Linked DNA regions of Macaca mulatta. The protein of the gene in region 4 purifies or fractionates together with the protein of the main gene of each other region. This does not show direct contact. Links are inferred from orthologs where the notes say so. Each region holds a gene or a part of one and is shown on either strand. Other genes may lie near its edges. The genes, in order: ADRM1, PSMD5, PSME4 and PSMB5.

Region 1 (5,791 bases), on a different chromosome or scaffold from region 4:
GAATCTTCTATTTCCACTTCCAAACAACCTGTGCGGAGGGAGCGAGTCATCCACAGTAGACTCTGGCCTCCCAGGAAACCCTGAGCTCATGTGACAGAGCTGACAGTTACCGCCTAGTGCAGAGAGCTCGTGGCCGCTGCTCCCGCTCGCCCCCAGAGCCCCAGGCATTGGGGGGTTGTTCAGATACTCGTTGACTTTCCGGCAGTGCTCCTCATCCTGGTCTGTCTTGGGTTCCTGCAGAGAAAGGACACGTAAGAGCAGGAGCCGGTGCCAGCTCACTCTGAGGGCCACCACAGCCATCCTGAGCTGGCTTACAGGTGAGGGACCTGAGAGGCACAGGCGCGTGTACCTGGCTACACAGTGCTGAGGAGACAGGACTCAGCTCAGCAGGTGAGGGGATGGCAGTGGTGCCTGCTGAGCACAATGCTCCGCGCCCTGCCCCAGTCTGCCGCAATGCTGGCTGTGCCCTGTCCCCCTCCACCCATTTCACAGATGGGGAGCCTAGGGCTCCGAAGGCACTTGGCTGCTGCCAAGCCAAGTCCTCTCACCCTCTTGCTCTCTGGGGTGTGGTTCTTTATACACCTGTCTCCTTCCTTCAACCAGTGGAAGGCAGCGAACTGGCCCGCTCAGCACACCACAGCCCAGAGCCACGGCAGGCCCTCACAATCGAGCACACGTGTGTGTCCCCACACGTGCACAGACCAGGGTCAGAAGCATCAACCTGCGAGCACACAGAGCTGGGAGCAGAGCACCCACGCACACCTCCAACAGCTATGGAGGCTGCAGGGCGCCAGGGACACTGGGAGTCCCTGCCCTCATGGGCACACCCCGAACGGCAGGGCGCCAGGGACACTGGGAGTCCCTGCCCTCATGGCAAAGCGGGGACAGGGACTTAAAAGTCATCAACAGGAAAATCGGGAAAAAAAGGGGAGAGGGTGGTAACAGTTGGACACTACTTCTTGGCAAAACCGTGGAAAAACACGTTCTACACCAGCAGGTGGCAAACTGTGCTCCCCATCTGTGTTTGCAAATAAAGTTTAATTGGAACTCGGCTATGCCTGTTCATTTCCCAGGCCACGTGCACAGTGCCTGCAGAGGTGAGCGGCAACACGGACCATCTGCCCCCCAGAGGCCTCTCAGACAGGGCCACCCTTGCTCTCGAAAGGGCCAAGGTTGGGGGTGGGGACAGCAGCTCCACCTCTGGCAGAGGGCATGGCATTCTCTCTCCACATTGCAAACGCACGCACACGCTTTCTGACCACAGGCCCGCCACCAGTTTTCACCTCCAGATTATACTGGCTTATGGAAAATAATCTGTGTACCAGGCAATTCTTTGCAACACTGCCTGTAACAGCACAAAAAACAGCAACAAGCTCAATGGTCACTGACAGAGGGCAGAATGAGCAATGGCCTCTGGACCCAACGGACGCTCTGCAGCTGTGGGTAAGAGAAACCCTGGGCGCTGATACCCCTGGCCTCCAGGACACACTGCCAGGGAAGGGGCAGGGCTGTGGAGAGGGAGAGGAGAATGCTTCGTTTCTGTGAGCCACACAGGAGCCCCTGCCTCTGCTGCGGGGGCCTCAGTGACCCACAGCAAGGGGCAGAGAGGGCACTGGGCATCGCTGGAACCAGGGTCAGCATGCCTGTCTGGCTGGAAATTCCACACCGCAATTGGGTACCCGGAGCCCAGCCTGGAGCCGCCGTACTCTGGGAGAGGACCTCGGCCCCAGGGAACACGCACCACAGTCCCGGGGTGGCATCTCAGGCCGTGTGGCCGGTGCCCGCTGGTTTGTAACAGCCAATTGCACCACACTGCAAGCAAGTTCCTAACTGAATCACAGGGCAACAAAAAGGCAAAACCCCAAGAGCTGCCCCGTACCTGCATCCAGAAGAAAAGCCGCTTGGACCCTGCCTTGAACTTCAGCACGTAGACCCTCCCGCTGGGGCACTGCGGCACCCGCTTGAACTCACAGTCGTCAGGGAAGATGATCAAGTCCTGGCAAGCCACAGGAAGAGAGAGTCAGCGGTGCAGATGGCACCACTGTGCCCAGTCTCAGGAGAGCATGCCAGGCCCTGGGTCTAACGGGGTGGGGTGCACAAGAGGCAGCTAAGCCGCCAGATCCCTCGCTGGCAGGGTCTCCCCCAGGTGGAGAAGCCAGGGTCAGAGACAGCCCATGAAAGGCAAGGCGCGGGGGAGAGAGCAGGAAATGGGCCTTTCAGATAGCAACAGGGTTTCTGAGACGTGTTGGGAACAACATTCCTAGAGTAGTTAAAAGGTCAACTCTGAACTACTCTCCAATGTAACAAAAAACAACTTAAAGTTTGAAGAACAAAGACGACTGAGTGAAGCGGCCAGGCAGAGAGCTCCAGGCTCTCCAGGGCCACACCTCCAACCCCAGGCACCTCACACGGAAAGTTCAAGACACACAGTGGCCGAGACGCCCCTGTCATCGCGGAAACCAGGACGACTCATCAGCACGACAGCCGATGACGGCCTCACGAGCGTTCCCCAGATGCGGCCAAGCCCCCACCGCGAACTCCAAAGCGAGGACTCCGAGGGCCCGAGAAGTCGCCTGTCCCGCTGTCGCGGCTCTGGGACACTCACGTCTTCCACGTTCCCGGACGTCCTGTCCTTCCAGCAGAAGTGAATAAGCGAGTCGTCCGTCTGCTGAATGTACACCAGCCCTTTCCGCTTATCCGGGGTCACGGTGGTCCCCTTCAGGGACATCTTTCCCGCCCGAAACTCCACCAGGTACTTGTTGGAGGCGCCCCGAGAGCCTGGCACCAGGCTTGGGAAGAGCGCGCCTGAGGTCGTCATCCTGAAAGCGCGGAGACGACGCTGAGACGCGGCGGTCACGGTCGCCTGCGGTCCGGCAAGCTCCCGCCCCCTGGGGTGTTTGGGAGCAGGGGGCCGGCGCCCAGAGCTGCCTAAGGCCGCGCAGGCCCCGTCCACACTGACACGCCGGGCTGCTTTCCGCGTTTCCCCCGCGCCCGCCGAACGCACCGCTCGCAGTCGGCGCTGGGCCGGGGCAGCCCCGCCGAGCCTAATGGGGCCGGCCCCAGGCGTGACGCCGTCTCCGCGGGGAACCAGCCTCGACGCGCCGCCCCGGCGACCCGCTCCGCGGGGCAGATCCGCCCGAGCTCCCGCCGAGCCCCACGCTCAGGGCAGCAGGCGGAACCGGGGCGGCGCCCGAACCCCAGAGCCCCCACCCGGCCCGGCCCCCGCAGGCCCCGCCCGCCGCGCCGGCCACCTTCTCGTCCTGGCTGACCCCGCCCCATCCCCGGACCAGCAGCCCCTGCCCCCGCCTCCGGTCGCCCCCGGCCGCCCCAGGACCTGCGACCCCCGCACCTGCCTCGCGCCCACACTCGTACGAGAGGCGCCGTCCGGGCTCTTCCTCCTCGGCGCCTGCCGGGCCCCGCCGGAAGCCCGCGTTCGGCCCGCCCCGCCTGCCGCTCTCGCCACCGATTGGGCCCCGGAGGCCCCGAGGCCGGCCCTAATCTGCCACCGATTGGCGAGGGCGACCGTCCATCGCACTCGCTCCTCCCCGGTCCGCCCCCGCGCCGGCGCCTCTTTTCCGGCGGAAGCGCGGGCCGGGAGGCGCGTGGGCCAGAGCGGCCCCTATTGTTGCTGTGTCATAGGGGAGCGGCGGCGGCCCCTAGAGGCGGCGCCAAGGACCGCAGGCGGGTTTCAGAAGCGCGCTGGGGACCTGCTGAGGTCGGGCCAAGCCCACCCCTCGGCGTCGCCAGCCCGGGCGGGAAGAGCTGTCACTCGTGTGACTGTGCCAGGGGATAGGAGGAAGCCGAGGAGTGCGGTCCGGCTCTGGGCGGCAGGCACCAGGGCTACGCACAGAAGTGACCATGGTTCAGCGCTTCGGGCACCCGGGCAGGAGCTGCAGTCCACGCGTCCGGGAGAGCAGGGGTGAGAACCGTGACATGGTCTCAGCTGCATACATCTAGTCCCGCAGGGGTCGGGGAGGGCAGAGGTCAGGGAGGGATGGGTCCCGGAGGAGAGGGGTCCCGGGAGGGGAGGGGGTCTCCGAGGGGAGGGATTTGGGAGGGGTGAGTCCGGGAGGGGAGAGGTTCCCGGAGGGGAGGGGGCCCGGGAGGGAAGAGGGTCCCGGAGGGAAGGGATCTGGGAGGGGTGAGTCCGGGAGGGGAGGAGTCAGGGAAGGCCTGAGTCCCAGAGGGGTGGGGTCCGGGAGGGCAGGGGTCCCGGAGGGCAGGGGCTTATCCTCTGGGCGCCTGGATGGGAAAGGCCACAGGGTAAAAAGGCTGCAGTCGCCCTCCAGTGTTGTGTAACTTTGAGTCACTTTTGACACAAACTAAAGCGAAGACAACAGAGAGTGCTTGTGGCGCCCCAGCCGGCTGCTGAAGAGGGACACGTTCTTTGGGATTTGCCTACAGCGACGCCAGGCGGGGGCTCTTAGAGGGGTCGGGCGCGGTGGCTCACGCCTGTAATTCCAGCACTTTGGGAGGCCGAGGTGGGCGGATCACTTGAGGCCAAGAGTTCAAGACCAGCCTGGGCAACATGATGAAACCCCGACTCTACTAATGCAAAAATTAGCAAGGTGTGCTGGCACATGCCTGTAATTCCAGCTACTCAGGAGGCTGAGGCACGAGAATCGCCTGAACCCGGGAGGTGGAGGTTGCAGTGAGCTGAGATTGTGCCACTGCACTCCAGCCTGGGCAACAAAGGGAGACTCCTCAAAAATAAAAAATAAAATAAATAAATAATAATAGTAATAAAAATAGGTCAGGAGCTTCGTGAGAACCCCGAGGTGCAGTGGCCTCGGCACCCGTTAAGCAGGAGGACTAGATGTCTGCAGCTGAGACCCTGCCAGGGTCCTCGGGTTCTCCTTTGCCCACCGCTCACTTCCTTCTTTCCTTCAGATACTCTGCTCACTTCGGGCGTTCCCCGGGGTCAGGGTGTGCTTGGTGGCTCACGCTCCGAGTGGATGCACAGCTCTCTGAGGTCTTTAGGTGTATGTTTTCATTCACCCTTGTTGGGAGATGCGTTGGTGTTGATGCTGGCAGCTCCAGTCCTTTCATTCTGCAGGGAGCCTACTGCTCAGCCCTCCATTGTCTCAGTGGCAGAGCATGTGCCAGTTATGTTTAGTTGCCAGCTTTTGACTGTCATAATGTTCCCATTCATGTTGTTTTGGAAAATGTAGCTATTTTTCATTTTAAAATGTGTGTTAACAGGTAGTGAGTTTGTTATTTTTATGTAGTTAAATAATTTTAAATGTCCTTTTAATTCCTAGTATGGTAAATGTCAATAAAGCTCACATAAACAAAAGCTCTTGGGGGCCTGTATAATTTTTAAGAATTTAAGCGGTCCAGAGGCTAAAGGGTTTGAGAGGGGCTAACACAAAGCTCTGGGGCCCGCTGGTGATAGGTGCGCCACTGATACTGCAGCCCCGTCCTCGTGCCCTCATGTAAAACAGGGAAAAGGTGGAAATGAGAAAACCCAACCCGGCTTTCCCGGCAAGAGGGTGGCAGGCAAGTGTCACTTATTGACGTCACAGACAGTGAAGCAGCAGCTCCAGGGTCCGCAGGGGCCAAATGTGCAGAGGCCAACGAAGTGGCCAAGAGGGCCCTGGATTTACCATTTCCTCCAGTTCCTGGTGGCCCTGTGGCCTGGGACGGCTCAAAACAAACAAAAAACCCCAGAACTCTTTACCTACACTTCAAGTGAAATTCGCACATTCCTATGAGCACGCTGCAGTGAGGAAACAAGCCGCAGCCAGACAGGCATTGCAGAGGCCACTGTGGGTGCCCGCTGCCAGCGCAC
Region 2 (5,804 bases), on a different chromosome or scaffold from region 4:
TGAAGGGTCTGTGCTGAGGAGGACTAGTATAAGAGGAAAGAAGGCCTCTTGGCAGTTGAGATAGAGAAAAGCATCTGTCTCCTGCCCGTCCCTAGGCAATGGAACATCTCGGTGTAAAACTGAATTGTATGTTCTGTTTACTGAGAAAGGAGAAAACTGCCTTAGGGCGAAAGGTGGGACTTGCTGGCGCAATGCTGCTCTTTATGCACTAAAAAGGTTTATGGAGATGTTTACATATGCATATAAAGGCACAGCACTTTTCCTTAAACTTATGTCACAGAGATCTTTATTCATGTCTTACTGCAGACCTTCTCCCTATGATGATCCTATTATGCTGCCATTTACCTTTTTCTAAGATGGTAAAGATAATGATCAATAAATACTGAGGAACTCAGAGACCCGTGCAGGTGTGGGTCCTCTGTATGCTGAACGCCGGTCCCCTGGGCCCACTTTTTCTTTCTCTATACTTTGTCTCTGTGTCTCATTTCTTTTCTCAAGTTTCTCGTTCCACCTAATGAGAAACGCCCACCCACAGGTGTGGAGGGGCAGGCCACCCCTTCAGGAAACCATGGAAAGGATTAGCACCAACTGACTTGAGATGTATGCTCACTGGGGTTACAGGGTGGGAAGGACTTGCTAGAACAGGAATTTCAGAGTAATGAGAGGTCAGACTAAAACTACAGACCTACCAAGAGGGAAAAAATGAGGGCTTGACTTAAAGAGGAGACAAATAAGAGATATTTCATAGGCCGGCCCAAATAATGTTAACTGATAGACTTCATGAATGGAGAACACTTACAGAAAAGGAAGGAATCTTAGAAGGTCAGAGTGAAGAAAGTGCTCTGAAATCATCCAGTGTTGATTCAGTGGTTCACAATCTTTTCAAGTAGTAAGGTCACTTTAAAGTCTTTGGATCACAAACATTTCAAAACTCTTTTAAATGATCAAAGCATCAAATACAAAGTGGGTTTTTTTTTTCCTTTTTTTCCCCCAGATCCAGGTAAGAAAGAATTATAAAATTTTTTAAAATCTTATCTTATATATATATTTTTAAAGACAGAGTCTTGGCTGGGTGCCGTGGCTCATGCCTGTAATCCCAGCACTTTGGGAGGCCGAGGCAGACGGATCACTTGAGGTCAGGAGTTCGACACCAGCCTGGTCAACATGGTGAAACTGCATCTCTACTAAAAACACAAAAATTAGCTGGGTGTGGTGGTGGTGGCACGTGCTTCAGACTTTGTCTAAAAAAAAAAAAAAAAAAAAGACAGGGCTTCACTCTGTCACCCAGGCTGGAGTGCAGTAGCACAATCTTGGCTCACTGCAACCTCCGCCTCCTGAGCTTCAAGGGATGCTCCCGCCTCAGCCCTCAAGTAGCTGGGACTACAGGCACGCACACCCAGTTAACTCTGTTTTGTTTTGTAGAGATGGGTTTCACCATGTTGCTCAGGCTGGTCTTGAACTCCTGGGCTCAAGTGATCCACCCGCCTCAGCCTCCCAAAGTGTTAGGATTACACAAGTGAGCCACTGCTCCTGGTCTACAAAGTGTTTTTATTTTTATTTTTATTATTTTTTTGAGACAGAGTCCCATTCTGTCACCAGGCTGGATGCAGCGGCGTGATCTCGGCTCACTGCAACCTCTGCCTCCCGGGTTCAAGTGATTCTCCTGCCTCAGCCTCCCGACTAGCTGGGATTAGCCATGCCTGGCTAATTTTTGTATTTTTAGTAGAGATGGGGTTTCACTATGTTGGCCAGATTGGTCTCGAACTCCTGACCTTGTGATCCACCCACCTCGGCCTCCCAAAGTGCTGGGATTACAGGCATGAGTCACAGCGCCCAGCCTATTTTTGTATTTTTAGTAGAGACGGGGTTTCACCATGTTGGCCAGGATGGTCTCCATCTCTTGACCTGGTGATCCGTCCGCCTCAGCCTCCCAAAGTGTTGGGATTACAGGCGTGAGCCACCGCGCCCAGCCTACAAAGTGTTTTAAATCAAACACTATGGATGTGAAAAAAATAAAAAGTAAAAGTTGTCCTACTTTTTTCAGACCCACTTCCCTAATAATAGTTTCTGGTGTGCCTTCGCAGATCTTTGCAATGTTATACAAGTTATACAAGCCTGTGGGGGTTGGGAGGATTGTAATCCTTTTTAAAAATTACAGGTTAAAATTATAGATTCATAAACTCTGCAATTTTCTTTTTCATTCAACAACACAGAAATCGTTCCATGTCCACATACATATATACATCTACTTCAACGTCTTAAATAACTGCATAGTGTTACAGAGTAGTAGCGCATAATTTGGAATCCCCTGTTAACGGATATTTAGATTGTTTCTAGTCTTTTGGTGTCACACACGATATGTTACAAATATTCTTGCATATAATACTGTAGGGTCCTCCAGTCGCCCCCTTTCTTTCTGTGTGCTGATGGAAAATCAGAGTGCCTTGATTGCTCTCTGACCTAGCCAGCAGCAGGTTTCCCTAGCAGGCTTGACCATAAACCCGGGGCCTTGAACATTCCCAGGCCTGATAAAGGTACCTAGGTTGTTGCCCAAAACACTGGAAGAAACTGGCCTCAATCCCGAGCCAAATTCCTTTAAACTCTCAACTAAACTCCAAACCCAGGAACACCTCTTTTCTCCCGGTGTCCGTCTTGATAATTTCTGCAGCCCTCCGTAGGTTCCCCCTAAACCCTTTTGGACTGATCGCCTTGGCATTCAGTGCTTCTTTCTCTGGCATCCCAACCAGCCACATCTCGGGAAGGTTTGAAGCACTCCCTTGTGGGAACTCCCTTGCCGCTGTTTTTGGGGCGATTCCAGCCTCGGGTTCGAAAGAACAAAATAACTGCACATTTTGTGCGCGTATACTTGCATTAAATTTTTGTAACAAGAATAACTGGATGAAAAGGCATGTGAATTTAAAATGGTGATGGTTCTTGCCACATTGCCAGGACAGGATCCTTTTAGAAGAGGTAACAAATCAAGAACCTGTACAAAGAGATGTGGAATGCTCCTTGTAAGTGGACAGCTTTGCTTTTCTCCTTTAATTTCTATCTGAAGGAGAAGGCAGTGCCTCACTGCTCAGAGGCAGCGAGGCCAGGCGACGGGAGAAAACACCCTGGGGCACTCCCAGAGGCTGAACCTGAATCCCGTCTCCTGCCCTCTGAACCTGGGATCCTTCCCTCTTTGCAAATTTCGGCTACTTTCCACCTTCCCTGTGACTGGGAAAAGCGCTGTTCTTGCCCTCAACCACTCTCGTGTCCATATTTAGGGGTGCCCCTCTCCTCGGCTCAAGGTCCCGGGGTCCTCTCACCTATGGTTCTCATCAAGCAGGGAGAAGAGCGGGCCGAGGCGCAGCTCCGCCGCTTGCTCGCGAAGCTCGTTGAGCGGCACTGCCTGCAGCACTGAGTGAAGAGCGCGTAGCTCCTCCAGCGGCGCTTCCAGCCTCGCTACCTCCCTCAGCAACGCCAAGGCCTGGGCCGCCATCTTGCCCCTCCCCACGCAGGGGTTGGCCAGCGGCCCGGTTCCCGGGGCGCTTCCCTGAACGTCGCGAGATCTGCTGATCACAGCCTCCTTGTCCCTGAGATTGCTATGGGGCTGCCAAGCCTCGCGAGAAGTGTCCGTTAGTGCCGTGTCAACTGTAGCCAGTGGCTGCGGCTCCCTCTGTCTGGCGTCATCTAGGGCGCTGCTCAGGAGATTGCGGAGGCCAGTTAGCCAGTTGGCTTACGTGTTTATCGCGTAGGGCAAGACTTGCCAAATTCCCAGCCAGCGGAGCGGCGAGGATGGGGACTTACGGGAAGTTAAAGAGCTTCGTGGGCGGCCTCGCGGCTCCAAAACCAGGCTCTAGGCGGCGGCGACCGCAGCCGTTAGGGAGGCCACCGCGGCTACGACCGCAGGTGAGGCCGCCCCAGGCGGAGCGGAGGCCTGGAGGGGAATCTTGATCCTGGGCCAGACACCTGTCAAGAGGAGGCGGAGCGTCGTGCCTCCAGGAAGACTGGATGAGTATTCTCCAGGAGCCGGACAAAGGCGTGAGTAATAGGGACGTGCGCCGCCTTGTTGGTGTTGATCAGTCCACCAAGGAGAAGCAGCTGTGGGCGCGGTGGCCGTGCCTGTAATCTCAGCGCTTTGGGAGGCCGCGGCGGAAGGATCGCTTGAGCCCAGGAGTTCGAAACCAGCCTGGGCAACATAGTGAGAACCCAGTCTTTACCAAAAAGAAAAAAAAGAAGAAGAAGAAAAAAATTAGTGCGGTGTGGTAGCACGCACCTGTAGTCTCAGCTACTCGGGAGGCTGAAGCGGGAGGCTCACCTAAGCCTGGGAGGTCGAGGCTGCAGTGAGCTGTGATTATGCCACTGCACTCCAGCCTGGGTGACAGCAAGACCCTGCTTCCCCAACACCTTGGCGCCCTCCCCCCACCCCAAAACCAAAAAAAACCAGTGTGGAAAGTTGGTCGCCCATCTGCTCCAAGCTGCTGTGTATTCCCGGTAATGTAAACATCGTGAAGGTGGAGATCCAGTTAACCTTTTAGGTGGAGGGCCAGATGGTAGAGGGCGACATCTGACCGGGAAGGCCATCTGCAACCAGGCCTAATATATCCACAGGGAACCTGTAGGAAACATCTGGGGAGGACAACCCAAATAAGTATCATGGGAGCAAGGGGTGGTTTGAGAACTTTAAAAATCGCTGCTGTTTTGCAATGTACCAGGTTGATGGGGAGGAAGGACCCTTAAATGCTGAGTGGGCACCGAGTATTCCAAGCAACTGGAGAGAGGCTATGTGCCTCAACAGGTCTTCAACACCAAGGAGACGACCCATCTTTTCTGTGCGTGCCTTCCTACTTTTGGGGCAAAAGACAAAACTCTGGAAAGCTTAGAGGAGGCTAAGGACAGGATTTCCCTCATTTTTTTTGTGGCAGTGCCTCAGGTGACAAAATGATAAAACCACTGCTGCTTTACAAAGACTCTAATCCCCCACTTGTCTTTCAGAAAGAGATAAACGCCTTCCTGTTTTCTTGTGAACACACCCAGAATCACCATTGCCACTTTATGGATTGGTTTTGTTATTTTTTTATCCATCAAGTCCGAAGTCATTTAACAGAAAAAAAAATCCGGAAATCAGAATGTTGCTAATTGTGGACGGAGGTCCCAATCACCCAGATTCATTATTCTTTGTTCATTCTAATGTTGATTGTGTTTCTCCCTCAGGAAGGCCCTAGCTTTCTTCAGCCCTTGGGTTAGGGTATAATCGAAGCATTTGGGAGGTATTACACCAAACATATGTTTGACCACTTTGCTGACTGTATTTAAAAAAACCTTCGCCTTACTCTGAAAGAAACATGGCAACAGTACAATATTGCTGATTCTTTGGTAGTGATAAAAGAGGTGATGGGTGATATAAAATCAGCCACTCTTAAGCTTGCTGGAAACTGTGGGAGGATGTGTGAATGATGATGCATTTTCCCTAGAGCTAATGAAGAAGTTAAAAAAACTTAGTGTCTGCAAAACAGGTGGGTTTAAGATTCATTGATATCAGGGAAAGTGAAATTAGTGAGCTACTCAAGTTTCAATCTTTAGTCACAACTGAGAGTCTATGTCCATAGGAAGAAGTCTTTGCAGACAGAGGAAATTGAATGCTGTCTGATGCCAGACCTCAGGCCTCACTGATGCTGCAATTGATATGGATCCTTTCCTGGATTAAAGCTTGGCTTTTAAAAAAGATTTCAATAAATTGCTTATACCTATAAAGAGATGCAGAAGAACCTTCAAAATAAAGCAAAGGACTTGGAAAGAGAAAGAAGACATGAAGAAGA
Region 3 (4,983 bases), on a different chromosome or scaffold from region 4:
TATAATATGAAAGGTTAAACAAATTACAAATATTGATAGCATAGTACTGAAAATATGAAAGTAATCTAGTCAGTAGTTAATTATGAAAATAAATTTTGGAGGCCGGGCGCGGTGGCTCACGCCTGTAATCCCAACACTTTGGGAGGCCGAGGCGGGCAGATCGCGAGGTCAGGAGATCGAGACCATCCTGGGGAAACCTCGTCTCTACTAAAAATACAAAAACATAAATTAACCGTGGTGTCAGGTGCCTGTAGTCCCAGCTACTCGGGAGGCTGGGGCAGGAGAATGGCGTGAACCCAGGAGGTGGAGCTTTCAGTGAGCCGAGATCGCGCCACTGCACTCCAGCCTGGGCGACAGAGCGCGACTCCGTCTTAAAGAAAAAAAGAAAAAGAAAAGAAAAATTATGGCATATAAGCTTTATAGGAAATAGTGCAACCAGTAAAACATTTTACAATGTATTTCATATGCTAGTGTAACGGACGCAGGAAAGAACATTATGTACTCGACAGACTATGATGATAAACTTACGAAAAACCTTTTGAAGGAATACAACAGAGCAAAACATCTGTTTTTTAAAATTATCATTGTGTATTATGAACATTAAACATAAATGTGATTTATATGTGAAATGATGCCTTTTTACTGCTTTTTTTTCCAAAAAGTTGAGTTACCATTCCAATTTGAAATGAACTGTGTACACGCTTCATTTAGTATTTGTGTAAACTGTGTTTACAATCTGACAGCAGCCTGTGAAATTCATAAGAATTAAACAGGATATAAGTCTCTATGATGTATGCCAATTACAGAAATTAGGTTGGTCTGTGCTTTGTTACTAACAAAAATAGCTAAGGCAGTGGCCTTCAGAGATGTAGTCTGGGAAAACTTGATCTTAATGTCAGGCTCTGGCACTGCTTTTACAGTTATAGCCCTGATGAGAGCTATCAGTAGGGAAGATAATTTATGGAGAAATTTAATTTTTCTAAAAGAGGTAAAAGTTTATGCTCATAACCCTAATGTAGTTTTTATCCATTACAAGGCCACAGACTCTGAGAATCTGCTGAAATCTCTATTAAGAAACTGCCAAAGAGCATACACAAAATTTGCATGTAATTTCAGGGAAGGTCTTCACCCCAGTTCCCACACTACCCCCTATCCTCCATTATTCCCTCAGACTTAGAATGTCAGTTCTAATAGACATAATTATATCTACAGGTTCGAGAAATGGCTGCTACTACCTTAAGCGGTCTGCTACAGTGTAACTTCCTTACCATGGACAGTCCTATGCAGATTCATTTTGAGCAACTTTGCAAAACAAAACTACCTAAGAAAAGAAAGCGAGACCCTGGTTCTGTAGGAGATACCATTCCTTCTGCAGGTAACATTGCTGGTAGAAAACACTCATATCCTGTTGGGAATTAATGAGGGTTAACCAGGCTTACTCATATTTATTGAATACTTGTATGTATGTGCCCAGGTCTATGCTAGGTATTGGGAAAAGTTTTCCCTACTTTTGAGGAATTTTGCATATAGAAAGCAGGACTTGGGAATGTAGAAAAGCTAAAATTGAGGTAAGTACAAAGGAACCTGTAGAACTGCTACCTAATAACTATTGTAATCAGTCTACCCTCCACCCAGAATAGCTTCATAAAAGAGATACTCAGATTAGTTATTTTGGAGGGTCTGAAATACCTGTTTTTGGAATTTAGAACTTAAATGTAGATGTACTGACAGAAAAAACTAAACAAAGCAAGCCTTGTTTTGATTTGGAGATGGGGATTATTTGGTCCTTCATTAGTCCTTTGGTGAGAGAGTGCAGAGTCATTGCAGGAGCTGCCTTAGTTGAATATAGACACAAGTTAAACACGAGAATAAGATCTGACTACTATGTCATGTTTAAAGAGAAATGTGAATGTGATTACAAAGATGCATCTTGCCACGTTAACTATAATCCTAATAGAAAATACATAAAAAGATTAATAGTAAGTAGGCATTTTATTGAATTTAGAGGACGTGCTTAGAATATAAAACTTTTACTGCTGATTAGTGTCTTAATTATGTCATAAAGTTACCTAGTAACAGAATCCAATAAAATATCAATGTACGTTCTAGTATCTTTGCTTTTTGGGATATACATATATATGTTTTATATATAATATAAACATATTTTATAATACATATCTTTTGGAAACAGGATCTTCCACTGTCTCCCAGGCTGGAGTGCAGTGGCATGATCTCGGCCCCCTGAAACCTCCACTTCCTGGGTTCAGGCAATTCTCATGCCTCTGTTAGCTGAGTAGCTAGAATTACAGGCGCGCACTACCACACCAGCTAATTATTTGTATGTTTAGTAGAGATGGGGTTTCACCATGTTGGTCAGGCTGGTCTTGGACTCCTGACCTCAAGTGATCCACCCACCTGGGCATTCTAGAATACTGGGATTACAGACGTGAGCCACAGCACTGGCCTGAGAACTCTATTTTTTAAATGATAAAGTGCCAAAGTATTTTTAGGTCTTTGTTACACCAAATGATATTGTTTACAATTTTGACCAGTCCAAATTCTCTTTTCCTTACCTTCAACTCCGTTTTCCATGTGTCACATATACACATGTAATATGTTTTAAAACACATGAATACACACACTTTTATTGAGAAACTGAGAATTTGAAACGATTTTAACTTACAGCACTACAGAAAGAATAGAGACCCTTTAGAATACAGACATGCTGCAATTCACTGTTTTAAGAAATAGACCTTCTTCATACATGATGTGTTAACTAATGAATCAATGTATTCTGGGTAGGGTCGTCACATCCAGAAAAAAAAAAAGCTAATTTTGATTGGAGATTATTTTAGAATCAGGGATTGTACTGGCCTAGGTACAATTATGCTGTCATGGATGAACAACTATGGAAGTCTTGAAAAAAATCTTTTTTTTTTTTTTTTTTTTTTTTTTTTTTTTTTTTTTTGAGATAAGGTCTTGCTCTGTCGCCCTCCTTGGAGTGCAGTGGTTTTGAACAATAGCTCACTGCAGCCTTGACCTCCCAGGCCCAAGCGATCCTCCTGCCTCAGCCTCTTGTCCAGCTGGAACCACAGGCATGCACTGCCATGCCCAGCTAATTTTGTTTTTGTTTTTGTTTTTTTAATTTTTTTTGAGATGGAGCTCGCTCTGTGGCACAGGCTGGAGTGCAATGGTGCGATCTTGGCTCGCCGCAACCTCTGCTTCCCCGGTTCAAATGATTCTCATGCCTCAGCCTCTGGGTATCTGTGACTTCACATGCCATTACACCCAGCTAATTTTTGTATTTTTAGTAGAGACAGGGTTTCGCCACGTTGGCCAAGCTGGTCTTGAACTCTTGACCTCAGGTGATCCACCTGTCCCGGCCTCTCAACGTGCTGGGATTATAGGCATGAGCCACCATGCCTGACTGCCAGCTAATTTTAAAAATGTATTTTTGGAGAGACAGGTTCTCACTTTGTTGCCCTGACTGGTCTCAAATTCCTGGCCTCAAGTGATCCTCCCACCTTGGCCTCCCAAAGTGCTGGGATTACAGGTATGAGCCACTGTGCCCAGCTGACAAATTCTTAAATACAGTATTATTTTTAGTTTAGCCTCAAAATCAAGTTTTTGATGTGTATACATGTAGATTCATTTTAAATGCAGAAATTCACATATTGAAAACAACATAATTGAAAACTAATTTTATTTCACTGTCACAGCTGCATTAGAGACATGTAAATATTTGCACATATGTTGCTGTTTTCTTTGCAGAGTTGGTCAAACGCCATGCTGGGGTGCTAGGACTTGGCGCATGTGTTCTTTCTAGTCCTTATGATGTTCCCACCTGGATGCCCCAGCTCCTCATGAATCTCAGTGCACATCTAAATGATCCTCAGCCTATTGAGGTACAGTTCTTCCTTATTAGTTTGTACATGTAGTATCAGTGATGTTTTCTAAGAAACCATAATAATAATTTCCTATACACTCTGAACTAACTGCTTTCATAAAGCTACTGCCTCTGCCAGGGCTCAGTCTGTTCACCAGTAATTATTTAAAAATTACAGAGACCTTGCTGCCATGGATATTTGAGATCTTTTGGTAGTCAAGAAATTATTGTAGCTTCTATCCCTCCCAGTTCAATGGAAGTAAAGTACTGTCACTATAGCTGTGATAAATTTTATGTTTCTATTTTTCTAGCACTGCAAAGTATTTTACTGGAAGCTAGTATTAAATAGGAAATTATGATGGCATTTTTAGTAACTCAAAAGACCATTGACTTTGTCCTTCTCATTGGCTTTTTGGTTTTGTAGCATTTGGTATTGTGTGAGATCTGAAGTCTAGAGGGATGGTAATTTAACTAAAAATATCCTACCTATGATCCTGGTTGTCCAGAGAGGTTAAAAACGTATGTGGATTGTCTACTTTACAGATGACTGTAAAAAAAACCTTATCCAATTTCCGAAGGACTCACCATGACAACTGGCAAGAACACAAACAGCAATTCACTGATGACCAACTGCTTGTTCTCACCGATCTTCTTGTGTCACCATGCTATTATGCATAGAAAGGTAAGTTGGCAAAGTTCTGAATTTAAAGACATGACATCCTCAGGCAAATGTCATTGGTTTGGTGACTGAGAAGTAGGTATTTATTGTTTTTTTTTTTCTTTTTGCTGACATTCTTAGATGTCAGTGTTTAGATAAAGTTGGATGGTGGGGGTTGTTTGTTTTTAAACATGGCTTTTGCCACAGCCATTGGAAATGAGAATTTTTCTGTGCCTCCTTGCTTTAGGTATAAAGCAGAGAAAATGTGTGACAGCTTTTGAACCTTTGTAAATGAGTGGTGTCAGTAGCCTGGGAATAGTTAGATAAAGGAAAATAAATCTTATTCTTAGTTGCCTCCTGGGTGGGACTGGGACATTTTGTGTGGCCCTGAGGACTCTGGGTTCTAGAAAGTTGTGAGAACATTTCATCTGGATTCTTA
Region 4 (5,958 bases):
TTCCCACCTTTCAGAGAATAGCGTCTCAATTTCCAAAGTAACAAACTGAGCTCCTCTCTCACATCCAGTTTTTAATTTCCTTTCATCCTCCATTGGGTAGTAAGCAGATACTCCCTACATCCCTTTCTATCCTCATTTGAAAGCAAGTGAAAAAGTGGTAGGTATCCTATAATTGTTCTACAAGGTAACTAGGTATTTAGTAAACAGGTAAATTAATGAAGCAAAAACAAAAGGAGGAAATAATAATTATTTTTAAGCATATGGAAGGGAAAAGTAGAAAGTGACTAGCTACACTCCAACTTTACTAAAGGGACATTTCAAAACTGGCTGATGAGGAAATGACATCAAATACAGAGTCGAACTTTCTGGCAAGTTTCTTAAATGCTGGAAAGGAAAAATAGGCTAAGGAACTTATTTTCAGAGATGATAGAACAGGACCTAGCACGATTGTTAAGGGTGATTATAACCAGCAAAGAAATAAAAGAAATGAGCCCAGGACTGGGCGCAATGGCTCACCCCTGTAATCTCAACACTTTGGCAGGCTGAGGTGGGCAGATCACCTGAGGTCAGGAGTTCAAGGCCAGCATGGTGAAACCCTGTCTCTACTAAAAATACAAAATTTAGATGGGCATGGTGGCGCATGCCTGTAGTCTCAGCTACATGGGAGGTTGAGGCAGGAGAATCACTTGAACCTGGGAGGCGGAGAGTGCAGTGAGCTGAGATTGCACCACTGCACTCCAGCAGGGGCGACAAGAGTGAGACTCTATACCCACGCCCCCCAAAAAAGAGAGGAGCCCAAAAGGCTCCTTCTAGGCCAAAGACTCTCTAAAGAAAAAAGGAGAAGAGGCCAGGTGCAGTGGCTCACGCCTTTAATCCTAGCACTTTGGGAAGCTGAGGCAGGCGAATCACCTGAGGTCAGGATTTTGAGACCAGCCTGGCCAACATGGTGAAACCCCATCTCTACTAAAAATACAAAATTAGCTGGGCATGGTGGCAGGCGCTTGTAATCCCAGGTACTTGGGAGGCTGCAGCAGGAGAATTGTTTGAACCCAGGAGGCAGAGGTTGCAGTGAGCCGAGACAATGCCATTGCACTCCAGACTAGGCGACAAGAGCAAAACTTCGTCTCAAAAAAAAAAAAAAAAAAAAAAAGAAAAGAAAAAAACAGAAGAGAAATGACTAACTTTTGAGGGACAACCATATATTAGAGTCTAATACAGTAGCCACAAGCCACACATGGCCAATGAACACTTCAAATAGCACTACTGCTACATGTAAGATTCAACAAATTCTTAAATTCTTTTTTTTTTTGGAGACAGAGTCTCACTCTATTGCCCAGGCTGGAGTGCAGTGGCGCGATCTCTGCTCACTGCAACATCCACCTCCTGGGTTCAAGTGATTCTCGTGCCTCAGCCTCCTGAGTAGCTGGGATTACAGGCACCTGCCACCACGCCAGGCTAATTTTTGTATTTTTAGTAGAGATGGGGTTTCGCCATGTTGGCCAGGCTGGTCTTGAATTCCTGACCTCACGTGATCCACCTGCCTCGGCCTCCTAAAGTGCTGGGATTACAAGTATGACCCACCACGCCTGGCCTCTGGGTCTTATTTTATAGGAGAGAGAACAGATGGAAAATTATTAGCCAGACACTATACTAGTAGGTTTACATTTGTTACCTCACTTAACCAATATAACAGATGATAAAACAGAGGCTGAGAAAATATGCATGCCCACTGTCAAACAGGTAGTCAATGACACAGCTGATTTAACTCTATCCCTTTTCCTATACTACAGTGCCTTCCTTGAAAAAGAGAAGGAACAGGCTGGGTGCGGTGGCTTATACCTGTAATCCCAGCACTTTGGGAGGCCAAGGCCAAGGTCAGTGGATCATGTGCGTTGGATACCAGCTTAGCAAACATGGTGAAATCCCGTCTCTACTAAAAACACAAAAATAAGGCCGGGCACAGTGACTCACGACTGTAATCCCAGTCCTTTGGGAGGCCGAGGAGGGTGGATCACCTGAGGTAAGGAGTTCGAGACCAGCCTGACCAAGATGGCAAACCCCCATCTCTACTAAAAATACAAAAATTAGCCAGGTGTGGTGGTGCATGCCTATAATCCCAGCTACTTCGGGGGCAGAGGCAGGAGAATCGCCTGAATCCCGGAGGTGGAGGTTGAAATAAGCCAAGATTGCACCATTGCACTCCAGCCTAGGTGACAAGAGCGAAACTCCGTCTCAAAAAAAACCAAAAACAAAAACTAACCAGGTATGGTGGCGGGCGCCTGTAATCCCAGCTACACGGGAAGCTGAGGCATGAGAATCACTTAAACCTGGGGGCGGAGGCTGCAGTGAGCTAAGATCATGCCACTGCACTGCAGCCTGAGTGACAGAATGAGCCACAGTCTCAAAAAAAAAAAAAAAAGGAGAGAGAAAGAAGGGCTAAGGACCTAATTACACTTCCTCAGCATTGACACCAAACCCTTTAATTCATCTGTCCATACAACTCCTCCTCTCCGTAGTGTCAGCCCAAGGATAATGTGGTTGCAGCTTAACTCACCAGGGCCTCTCTTATCCCAGCCACAGATCATGGTGCCCATGGACAGCCCCATGCCTTTGTACTGATACACCATGTTGGCAAGCAGTTTGGAGGCAGCTGCTACAGAGATGCGTTCCTTATTTCGAAGCTCATAGATTCGACATTGCCGCGCCAACAGCCGTTCCCAGAAGCTGCAATCCGCTGCGCCCCCAGCCATGGTGCCTAGCAGGTATGGGTTGATCTCTATCACCTTCTTCACCGTCTGGGAGGCAATGTAAGCACCCGCTGTAGCCCTGGAGTCAGCTGCAACTATGACTCCATGGCGGAACTGTTAAGATCAGAGGAAAACACAAAACAGGCCACATAAGACCACAAAAACACTCCTACCATACTTCTTTTTGCATCAGTCCAAACCCAGCACATCTCTTTCTCCATCCTTTTATACTTCACAGTACACTTCTCTACTTCCCCATATATTAATGTCACCTGAGCTTCACATCTCAATCCCTTTACATGGATATAACTCATATTAAATTCATTTTATAGGATGGGCGTGGTGGCTCACTCCTGTAATCTTGGCATTTTGGGAGGCCAAGGCGGGAGGATCGCTTGAGGCCAGGTGCTGGAGACCAGCCTGGGCAACACAGGGAGATCCACCTCTACAAAAAATAAAAAACTTAGCCTGTCGTGGTGGTGTGTGCCTATAGTCTCAGCTACTCTGGAGGCTGAGGCGCTGGCGCCATTGCACTCCAGCCTGAGCGACAGGGCGAAGCCCTGTCTCAAAAACAACAAAAAAAATCATTTTATAGATGAGGAACCCAGCTTCCCCTTTATGCCAGTTTCGGTTACCCTTGCCTTGAGGGGCCGCCCAGTTTCCAAAACTTTGGTAAACGGTTACAATAGCCTTCCCTCGGCCAAGGTTCATTGTTGTTGCGGCCTTTCCCCTTTCCCAGCTAGAAGATCCTGAACAGCAGCAACCTGGGGTCGCCTAGGAATCAACCCAAGAGGCCTCAGCTTCCTTCCCCGACTTACCCCCAGCCCCACCGCCACCCTCTCCAACCAGAGCAAAGACAGGAGTCTCCTGGGTCAATGAGACAGCAAAACTGCTGCGGTCCGAACGAGAGGACCGCGCCTCCGCCTGGGTTGGTGGCCAAGGCCACCGCAAACTCCGGTCAGGCTGGGAGGCCAGGCAAGTCGCGGGCGTTCAATAATCAGCCAGGCAAGGGGGCTGGCTCCGCACCTTGAAGGCCAGGGTGGTTGTTCCATGAAGCATTTCGATCCCTGGCTCTTCTGGGACACCCCAGCCGGGCGCGGCCAGACTCAGCCCATCACTGGGACTCCCTGGACCTATATCTAGCAGATCTGCACGACCCCCGAGTCCGAAAAACCCGCGCTGGTTCACTGGTAGCGGTCTCTCCAACACGCTGGCAAGCGCCATGTCTAGTGTGGGCAGAAAGAACTAACTCTGAGAACGCCTAGCAAAGATAGGTCGGGCAACGCCTCGCCGTCACAGCTTCACTTCCTATTAAATCTATTCCCGAAAGGAGCCATTTTGACTGCTGGCAACCACGCCTCCAAAAAGAAGCGCCAGATGGGAAAGACCATTTTCACGAAGGGCGTTGGGGAAATAGATGGCTTCACTAATCTTAAACGTACCTGCCATCTTGGCTTTGGTCATGCAAGTAGTCCTAGATCAGGGTAACCTCAAATTCACAGGAAGTGTCTGAAAACGTCCATGTTGCGTGAGGGAAGTGAGGTCGGCCATCTTTGAGAAGGGCGTGACTGGTTGAAAATTGGTTCTGAACCCTTAGCAGTGGGTCCGCCCACTCCAGCCCGGTGTCCAAGCAACAGGTTACATCGCTGCTGCTTCAGCACCTTGTTAACGCCCCTGAGGTTGCCATCTTGTTTAAGGGCACCCTCTAAAACTGGATAAAATAATGATCCATTCTGAGGCCATTTCCCTATATTAGTTAAACCACAGTAATTAGTGGTAAAAAACGCAACAAAATAAAGTGCTATACCTCTTGTTGTCAGTCGCCATACAGCAACCCTTCTTTAACAGTAACCGGTTTTTAATATCCAATATTCCTTCTCTTGACTCCTACCGTCTGGTGGAAATTCGAATAAGTAATGAATTGCCTAAAAGGCAGATGGAAGAAGAAAAAGCAAAGGGTCCAGTTAATCCACAAACTAGATTCTCAAGTCAGACCTGAATAAGTGCCAGTAGTAATTTACCATCTCAGAGCCTGGAGGACGGTTGAGACTGCATAAATATGTACCAAGAGATTCTCTAACTTCAACTTGCTAAGATGATGCCCTTTATTCAGGAACGTACTATATTTCATTGCCTCTTCCTCCCTCCACCCACCTTCATTTTTCAAATCTTTTCGGAACTATAACAAACCAGGAAGTGTGCATATGTATGAAATGTTGCCTCCTGCTTTGTGGCTCTATGAAGTCAGTGTCTGGCCTTCCTTGTTGGATTCTAGCAGCAACATCTATCAACATCGAAATTCCACTTTCTTCTGATGCCCAATTCAGCCCCATCTTTCCCCTAGCAGACTCTGCATTTTTCTTTTTCTTTTTCTTTTTCTTTTTCTTTTTTTTTCTTTTTTTCTTTCGAGATGGAGGCTTGCTCTGTCACCTAGGCTGGAGCACAGTGGCACGATCTCTGCTCACTGCAACCTCTGCTTCCCAGGTTCAAGTGATTCTCCTGCCTCAGCCTCCCGAGTAGCTGGGATTACAGGTGCCCGCCACCATGTCCAGCTAATTGTGTGTGTGTGTGTGTGTGTGTGTGTGTGTGTGTGTGTGTGTGTGTGCGTGCGCAGACGAGGTTTCACCACGTTGGCCAGGCTGGTCTCGAACTCCTGACCCCAGGAAGTCCACCCACCTCAGCCTCCCAAAGTGCTGGCATTACAGGCGTGAGCCACTGCGCCCAGCCATATGCTGTATTTTGTTTGTTTGTTTTTGAGACAAAGTCTCGCTCTTGTCCCCCAGGCTGGAGTGCAAGGGCGTGATCTCGGCTCACTGCAACTTCCACCTCCCGGGTTCAAGCGATTCTCTTGCTTCAGCGTCCTGAGTAGCTGGGATTACAGATGCCTGCCACGACTCCTGGCTAATTTTTTTTTTTCTTTTCTTTTTTCTGAGACAGGTTTTGCTCTGTCGCCCAGGCTGGAGTGCAGTGGCGCCATCTCAGCTCACTGCAAGCTCCGCCTCCCCGGTTCCCACCATTCTCCTGCCTCAGCCTCCCGAGTAGCTGGGACTACAGGCGCCCGCCACCAGGCCCAGCTAATTTTCTTTTTCTTTTTTTTTTTGTATTTTTAGTAGAAATGAGTTTCACCTTGTTAGCCAGGATGCTCTCCATCTCCTGACCTCGTGATCCGCCCACCTCGGCCTCCCAAAGTGCTGGGATTACAGGCGTGAGC

Evidence for each region.
Region 1: the proteins of PSMB5 (region 4) and ADRM1 fractionate together in Homo sapiens (co-fractionation; 4 studies listed by BioGRID, with this or other methods). This does not show direct contact. The link is inferred for Macaca mulatta from reciprocal best matches to the Homo sapiens genes PSMB5 and ADRM1.
Region 2: the proteins of PSMB5 (region 4) and PSMD5 fractionate together in Homo sapiens (co-fractionation; 3 studies listed by BioGRID). This does not show direct contact. The link is inferred for Macaca mulatta from reciprocal best matches to the Homo sapiens genes PSMB5 and PSMD5.
Region 3: the proteins of PSMB5 (region 4) and PSME4 purify together in Homo sapiens (affinity purification with mass spectrometry; 3 studies listed by BioGRID and IntAct, with this or other methods). This does not show direct contact. The link is inferred for Macaca mulatta from reciprocal best matches to the Homo sapiens genes PSMB5 and PSME4.

The regions. Positions count from the first base shown.
Region 1 is NC_133415.1:115,095,340-115,101,130, reverse strand, and holds the start of ADRM1 (proteasomal ubiquitin receptor ADRM1), read right to left. Parts: upstream 3,438-5,791; 5' UTR 3,350-3,437; exon of another isoform or gene 3,280-3,349; coding exon of another isoform or gene 3,005-3,279; intron 2,820-3,004; coding exon of another isoform or gene 2,819-2,819; coding exon 2,606-2,818; intron 1,997-2,605; coding exon 1,880-1,996; intron 1,052-1,879; exon of another isoform or gene 241-1,051; intron 235-240; coding exon 111-234; intron 1-110. UniProt on the Homo sapiens protein: Component of the 26S proteasome, a multiprotein complex involved in the ATP-dependent degradation of ubiquitinated proteins.
Region 2 is NC_133420.1:37,356,716-37,362,519, reverse strand, and holds the start of PSMD5 (26S proteasome non-ATPase regulatory subunit 5), read right to left. Parts: upstream 3,564-5,804; 5' UTR 3,485-3,563; coding exon 3,312-3,484; intron 1-3,311. UniProt on the Homo sapiens protein: Acts as a chaperone during the assembly of the 26S proteasome, specifically of the base subcomplex of the PA700/19S regulatory complex (RC).
Region 3 is NC_133418.1:70,792,686-70,797,668, forward strand, and holds part of PSME4 (proteasome activator complex subunit 4), read left to right. Parts: intron 1-1,212; coding exon 1,213-1,375; intron 1,376-3,771; coding exon 3,772-3,905; intron 3,906-4,429; coding exon 4,430-4,564; 3' UTR 4,565-4,568; intron 4,569-4,983. UniProt on the Homo sapiens protein: Associated component of the proteasome that specifically recognizes acetylated histones and promotes ATP- and ubiquitin-independent degradation of core histones during spermatogenesis and DNA damage response.
Region 4 is NC_133412.1:96,124,647-96,130,604, forward strand, and holds the start of PSMB5 (proteasome subunit beta type-5), read right to left. Parts: upstream 3,984-5,958; 5' UTR 3,972-3,983; coding exon 3,774-3,971; intron 2,865-3,773; exon of another isoform or gene 2,862-2,864; coding exon 2,555-2,861; exon of another isoform or gene 2,093-2,554; intron 1-2,092. UniProt on the Homo sapiens protein: Component of the 20S core proteasome complex involved in the proteolytic degradation of most intracellular proteins. This complex plays numerous essential roles within the cell by associating with different regulatory particles.